2 linked regions of the Nothobranchius furzeri genome follow. The protein of the gene in region 1 interacts with the protein of each later gene in a pairwise test. Links are inferred from orthologs where the notes say so. Each region holds a gene or a part of one and is shown in the gene's direction. Other genes may lie near its edges. The genes, in order: rxraa and nr0b2a.

What was found.
Region 2: the proteins of rxraa (region 1) and nr0b2a interact in a two-hybrid assay, tested with the Homo sapiens proteins (2 studies listed by BioGRID and IntAct). The link is inferred for Nothobranchius furzeri from reciprocal best matches to the Homo sapiens genes RXRA and NR0B2.

The regions. Positions count from the first base shown.
Region 1 is NC_091746.1:41,707,160-41,710,981, reverse strand, and holds part of rxraa (retinoic acid receptor RXR-alpha-A), read left to right. Parts: intron 1-3,422; coding exon 3,423-3,528; intron 3,529-3,665; coding exon 3,666-3,813; 3' UTR 3,814-3,822. UniProt on the Homo sapiens protein: Receptor for retinoic acid that acts as a transcription factor.
Region 2 is NC_091745.1:40,694,133-40,697,950, forward strand, and holds nr0b2a (nuclear receptor subfamily 0 group B member 2a), read left to right. Parts: upstream 1-1,577; 5' UTR 1,578-2,016; coding exon 2,017-2,551; intron 2,552-2,636; coding exon 2,637-2,902; 3' UTR 2,903-3,104; downstream 3,105-3,818. UniProt on the Homo sapiens protein: Transcriptional regulator that acts as a negative regulator of receptor-dependent signaling pathways. Specifically inhibits transactivation of the nuclear receptor with which it interacts.

The DNA.
Region 1 (3,822 bases):
TTAATAGTTAAAATGGTTTTAATGTTTTTTATTAATATTTTGGCTGAAATCCAGGATTTGTGGTTACCAAAATGACTTTTCCTATTTATGATACTGAAAACCATGTGGGTTAATAAAGAGGCTGGGGATTAGTTTTGATTTGTTGACTAAATTAAATTCTGTCACACAATAAACTTTGTGTAATGTCTGTAAAAATATTTTATCTCAGTTCTGAGAAATGACAGAGTAGTTTGAAATTTATCTTTGTCAATTTTTTGTTTATTTTGCAATTAAATGTTTTTGTGTGAATTTAGATCATTTTTAATGCATGCATTAATTAAAAATTGTTTTTTTATACTTACCTGAGTGCTCCAGCCCCCTTGCTTCATAAAAATGTTTATAGAATCTTTGTTCTGTTTAATTTCTCAGCTAATCTAGGTGTATTTTAGGTATTTTTATTTTACCCTAACCCTTTACTTTTATAATCTAATAGTTGATTTAGTCTCCAGGGGAGGGCAGGGCACATCTTTTCTAGCAGAAGCTAACCATTAGCATTAGCAATGCTGCCACATCGCAGACTTCCGTCAGGCTTGTGTTTTTGTGAGATAAAACATCATTTTTACCCAAGAAAAAATGGCAAAGGGAGGCGATGGTAGAGTTGCATTGCTGTCAGCCAATCAGAGGCAAGATATCCGCTGAATATTATGTATGACCTGCTGGCACAGTGAGGCTTTTTTTTAAATATATTTCTTGCTAATGTTAACCATGGCAATAACGTTGCCATAATAACTCGAAAATGTTGGGATGAGCACCCCAAAAACATGATAATGTGGTGACATGGGGGTGAGCACCCCCAAAATTATAATACACCATATTATCCACGGCTGAGACAGTCGTTTTGATGTAACGTTTGTGGGGTGCACGCTTCCCGAAGAATAATATAAAAGATAATGAATCCTCTGGTTAGGATCAATAAGGGCCCTGCCTGCGGTGGCAGGCCCCTTAATAAAAGTTAAAGTAAGGAGTCAGACTCCAAATCCTACTGTCCAACCCACACACTCACAAACACACTCCTCCAACTAACTTCTACTTCCTGAAACATGAGCGCAAGAGCCTTTTTTCCACAGAGAACAACTCACAAGGCATTCATTGTTGAAACCAGAGACCACTGCAGATGTGTTGAAATAACGAGTGTAGAGACCTACCCATAATGCATTGTGGCTGGTTACTTACATGAACCAAAAATCAGAAAAAATACAGCAACTTACTGTTAAAAGGTAAGATATACCCATAATACATTACAGTTATAATGGCATACTTTAAACAGAAACTATGACAGTTTTACTTGGAAATTTTGATATATTCACTTGTAAATATTCCCAGCCAAGAAAAAGGAAAATAAACCTTTCCTGAAAACCAGAGATAATTTTGTCCAAATTTGTGGGGCTGCATATGACAGCATTACAAAGGATGGATAGTTCATTTCATGATTGCTTATCGTGAAAGTCTATCATGATTGTTTATTAATTTTAAAGTATTACTCCTTCCTTCATAGCATTGTATCACTTTTATCCTCAATGTTAGTTTTGATGATCATAACCAGAGTGCAGAAGCACGAAGAGAGTGTCAGAAAAAGAAGTGGAAGTATTAAAGGTTTGTCCATTAGGAGAAAAATAGATCATCATGTGATCACGTCCTGTCTTTTACTTTAATAATCACCACATTTACTAAAGCTGCTCCTGAATGTGACCCAGGTTTTTAATGACTCGATCCACGTGTCCCTGTGGTATCCAACGTAGATCTAGAACACTGATTCTCGGTGTCCAACATGATGTTCAGGCCATGCCCAGGCCCAACTAACCTTGGTTCATTTTGCTGCTTGATTCCTGTTAATTAGCCGTTTGTAAAACTGGTCTGACTGAGGGAGCAAATGGCTCTCAGGCTGCAAATGAAGAGGGAGGATGGGGAAGGGGGGTGAGGCTAAGAGGCTAAAAAGGGCTCTTCGGTAATTCCTTTCCCACACTGCACAATTTAGTCCAGTCCGGCCATTAAAAACAAGTGTTCATTCATTGTCAGGCAATGGTGAAACGCTTCGGTGACCATTGGTGTTCATCAATGACGTGTTTGTGTTGCGAATCAAAGATGTGTCTTTCATTGGAGTTTAAATTAGCGCAGAATGGGGCGACACATGTTGGTTTAGGGTTAAAACTTAATCTGCAAGTCACAAACCTGTTTCAGGGAAAGATAAAATGAGATTGACTCATTTATGCCCATTCAGCCAACATTTGTTTGAAAATGTTTTAGGATTTTTCTGTAATGAGTAAAAACCTCAAGCTTTGTTATTCTATGGCTGCTGAAGACGATTTGGAGAAACAAAAGTTGTGACAAAAAATGTTTTTTTTTTTTTTTTTGTTGGATTCTCACTTTTGTGATTTGTGAAATAACTGCAAACAAATGTCAACATTCATGTGAATTTTTTGTCCCGCTTTAGCAGCAAAGTGTCTCAACTATGTTTCAATTTAGTTTCGATCTGGTCTCCAACTCCTCCCACGGTTGTTTCGCATTCGTCACACATTCTGACTTAGGCCTGATTTATACTTCTGCATCAGTGCGGAGACACGCAACGCCATTATGCGTCGGTGCAAGGGCTCTCCGATGGGCTCAGAGGGCGACGGAGACTTCCCCAACATTTTAAACATCTGTCGAAAGTGACAGAGACTGCAAGCTTGTGATTGGTCAGGATGCCGCTTCGTGTAAATTCATCACCAGCACCGTCGTTGCCCCGTTAAAAAGTAAAAAGATATTTAGCGGCAGACCCAGAACAGATTGAAGAACGCATTGTGGTAAAACTGAAAATATGAATGTTCATTCACCCATGATAGTAGGAGTACAAAATATGGAGCAAACGTGGACGGAAATTAAAGGAAAAATGAGTTTAGAGGTGGCGACCACATGAAGAGGTGGAGGAGAATGAAGGACAAATTTGTCCGTGTTATAAAGTCTCTGAAATAAATAAACACATTAGTAAATGCACTATCGTGGACCGGATACATGAGTGTGACGGTGGCAGTATACCACAGAAAAACGCTACGCCCTCTGTGTTCCTGGCGGGGAATTGTTTTGCAACACTCTGCTGCCTACGCTTAAGTTCACATGTAAAAACCTTTCCAACACTCCGTGTACATCTCTCACGTTGCGGAGCTCATGGAGAAGTATAAATCAGCCTTTACACAGACTAAATCACAGAGTTCCCAATGAATCCCAAACACTTGTGATGGCTAGATCTTTGAGAGAAAACTTCTAGATTCAGCTGTTATTCAAATTTTTGCCATAATATTTAGATTTTTGATTTTTTTCACTGTTTGAATGAAAAAAATCCGATTTTAAAACAGAATATGTTTGCAGGTTTGTTATAGTTGTTTGTTCTTGTGCTTGTGTTTCAGATTCTAAAGGTTTGTCCAACCCAGGTGAAGTTGAAGCTCTGAGAGAGAAGGTCTACGCGTCTTTAGAGGCCTACTGTAAACACAAGTACCCCGAGCAGCCGGGCAGGTGGGATTAAAATCACAAACATGAATGTATAACTAAAACCTAGCCACGTTGGTTACAAAATAACCAGCATTAATCGTTTTTCTCTGTTGATTCCTTGTTTTATCATCAGTACTGACGCTTGTGTTGTTTCTGAACAGGTTTGCCAAGCTGTTGCTACGGTTACCGGCGCTGCGCTCCATTGGGCTCAAGTGTCTGGAACACCTATTCTTTTTCAAGCTGATCGGCGACACGCCCATCGACACCTTCCTCATGGAGATGCTAGAAGCCCCTCATCAGATGACATAGTAGCAGTAA
Region 2 (3,818 bases), on another chromosome or scaffold:
TACCCGGCCCGGGCCGACCCGGTACAGATGGGAATGGCCCATTAGATTCACCCAGATAAAGACAATAAAGTTTATTTCTCACTAAATAGAATATTTAATAAGAAATCACAATCTAGCCATAGGAACACCACTTGGTGTGTGTGTGTGTGTGTGTGTGTGTGTGTGTGTGTGTGTGTGTGTGTGTGTGTGTGTGTGTGTGTGTGTGTGTGTGTGTGTGTGTGTGTGTGTGTGTGTGTGTGTGTGTGTGTGTGTTTGCGCTGACTTCCCAATCCCCACTGTCGCTACACACTTGCTTTTGAGGATTGCTGCAAAGACCTAGTCAGTGACTCGATGCCGTCTGCTGAGTTAGGAGCTATATAAATAATCTGAACTGAAGAAAAACATGTACATTATTGAGATTAGTTGTGAAATGGCCAACAACAAGAGAATGTAACATTTGTAAAAACAATAACACTATTTCTTTTTTGATCAAGATGCTTTTTTAGATAAGTTTGTCTCACAAACGGAACATCTGCAGTTAGAATGCCTCATTTCATTTCAAATGTGTTGACAGCAAAATAAACATGTTCAAAAACTTCTACGTAAATGCAGCTGTTACTCAGGAACTGGGCAAAAGCAAATGCAAACAAAGAAACTATAGAAGCAGACATTTGTAAAACGGGTTAATTACGTTCCAGATCACTAACAAACACTTCTGTGCATGTTTCAAATGAAAAACTGGTCTTACACACGACCCTTACGATCACACAAACAACCTTTTAATCTTCTGTGTAATAATCGTGTTAAAGATCGAAAAGGCAGAATTAAAACGCAAATCTTGATGGATATCCATTAACGGTGTGGAACACTGAAAAAAAGTTTTAATTATTATTTCTGATTATAATCGGTCTCCGAGTGTTTCGTTCATGCTGAACATGAAAATAGTCTCCTACACCTAGGATTTGAAAAGCCTGACAGATCTACGCCACGCTGTCACCTAACATTCATGGACTCACCCTCCTTGACTCGCGGCTGTTGTTGGCTTAGCATCCAGGAAACAGCAGAGAGGTAGTAGAAGCTAACGTTAGCACAAGCAACTCCACCACACAGCAGACCTCCTCCAGGCTCGTGTTATTTGTGGAGAGAAAACATCAACGTTGAAGAGCAAACAGAGTCAGTGGTAGAGTCGCGTTGCTGCTAGCCGGTCCGATTTTAAAGGTTAGTAGGTGAAGTGGTTATAAGGTTGAAGTATGCTTTGGGACTTCTGAGGATTAGATGCATTAAGTGTACATTTTACCGTTTGTTCCCACCCCAGAGTTACAGGTTAAGCTATCAATGCAACTTGCCCCTAGGGGGCTCGCTACAGCGATGAACTTGTTTTATATTCTTCCCGAAGTCATTTGGAATCATTTCAATAGTTCCTTTAGTCATCACACACTGTTGAAATTCATCTCCGCATTTGACCCATCCCCGTGGGGAGCGGAGAACTGCAGCTGTGGTCGGGAATTATTTGGTGGTTTTATGCTACTACTACTGTTTCCCTAAAATTGAAGCATAATTCCCACTGTTCCCGGTTTGGAAACGTTTGTCTAAACTAAACTACGTTTGATGAGAACACGATGTGAAGGTCAACGGCCTCCTTTGTGGTCTGGCCTCCTTCCAGCACTACAGGTGTGAGCTGGCGGGTGCAGTGACACAGCGTGGGGCTGATTACCTCTGCAGTCCTTGGTAGCTTGGTACTGCCTGGGTTGATGACACTGCCTTCCAGATAAGGCCAATCCCACTTGATATCCATGTGTGACTCCAGCAGCTACTTCTCAATGAGAAAAGCTTATCTGTTTCCCAGGGTTATTCCAGCAGTCACCTGGCAGAGCGCGCGGTTGTTTTTCACATTGGGTGTATTGACATTTCAAGGTCCACTAAGAAGGGAGGGTTGGCCTTATAAATAAGACTGGAGGAAGCAGCAGCTCTCAGAAGCTCAGACGGAGCCCGTCGTGGCAGAGAAGAGGTTCAGAGGAGCAGCCGCATCGAAGAAAGATGGATAACAGATGCCAGTGTTCCGCTAACAAACAAAGGCAGTTAAACCCGATCCTCTACAACATCTTGAGCCAGATGGACAGCGGTAGACCGACTCCAGACACCTCCAGCCACAGTTCCGTTCCTCACAGATGCAACTGTGAGACGCGGCGGAGAGTGTGCTTAAAAAGGCCGTCTGTGGTCTGCAAAGAGGCGTCTGCAGTTCTGGTGAAAACCGTCCACTTCATGAAGAACTTGCCAGCGTTTAACCAGCTGCCACCCAGTGACCAGTTTGCACTACTTAAAAGCAGCTGGGTGCCACTTTTTATTTTGGGTTTGGCCCAGGAGCGCGTGGACTTTGAGGTGGCGGACGTCCCTGCTGACAGCATGCTGAAGAAGATTCTCCTGAACTGCCAGGAGAGCCCTGAAACAGAGCGGGAGCAGCCAACCATGGCAGGCATCAGCAAACTCAAGTCGTGTCTCAAAAAGTTCTGGAGTCTAGATGTGAGCCCAAAGGAGTACGCTTACCTGAAAGGGACCACGATATTTAATCCAGGTATGTACTGCGTTAACTGGATTCAGACAACAGATAATCCAAGGACTCGTTTGTCAAGCAACAATTCTGGTTTTCTCTCAAACAGATGTACCAGATTTGAAGGCAGGCCTGTTTGTCGAAGGCTTGCAGCAGGAAGCTCAGCACGCCCTGAGCGAGGTGGTCCAGCTGCTTCACCCTGGCAACCAGGAGCGCTTTGCTCGGATCCTCCTCACAGCCTCCATGCTGCAGGGCATCACACCCAGCCTCATCACCGAACTCTTCTTCAGGCCTGTGATAGGCCAGGCCAACCTGCTGGAGCTGCTGGTCGACATGCTCTTCAGCCGATGGGAGGGGTGGTCCTCGGGATGGTGACCTCCATGCAGCGTGCTTTAGAGGCTTCTATAAAGCACACTAGGGTTTTGACTTTCGTCCGCTGAAGCTGAGGTCACTTCACCGTCTGAGCAGAACTCCTGAGAGGTTTTTGAGTTTTGATCCTACGTGTCGATGAGCTCCTCTGCTGTAAATAAGCATCTGCATTTCCAGAAAACTTGAATAAATATATTTTTGTACACGACTGAGTCCGATCCGTGGATCCATCCTCCATTACATGTTGTGCTCAGCAAACTTTTCAGAAAGTCAAGCGTAAGCCTGCGCGTTAAAGGAGAGAATCTAAAATTAGAATGAAAACACACATTTGTGGCTTCAAATGGAACAGAAAACCTTTTTTCTGCCTGTACTGCTGTGCTGTGTCTCCCTCTAGAGGACGTTTGGTGGAAGTTTTTTTTTCTCAGAAGACTAGCGGCAAATATTTTCTTACTTTTGCATTTCTCACAAAACCACAGCATCAAGATCCCCCCACCCCATCGTCACAAAAAGGGACAGAATGGCACGAACGCTAAACTCAGCGCAGTATAAAAAAACACTGTCTGCATGTAGTTATTTGAGAAATCAGGCTTAGTCATCCTACTTTGTGGTATGTTAGTTGTGAAACCCTGTCTTTACATGACAACTCGTACAGGTAAAACAGGAATGTGCTGGTGGGGGCGGTGAGCCGGTGGAAATGGGGTTACGCGTGGAAACGGCAACACAAACAAGACAAAAGGAGAGTCCAAAATGCTTCAAATCGAGTGCAAAGTGGAAAAAAACTACACATTTTTGTTGCTGCAGCAATTTTTCTTTTCAGCAGATATGAAATCATCCAAATGTTGGAGTTGTTAGGATAAGGTGGCTGTAATCTGCTAGATTTACTGAAAACTTAGAACCCGGTGCATTCAAACTGAACATCTTC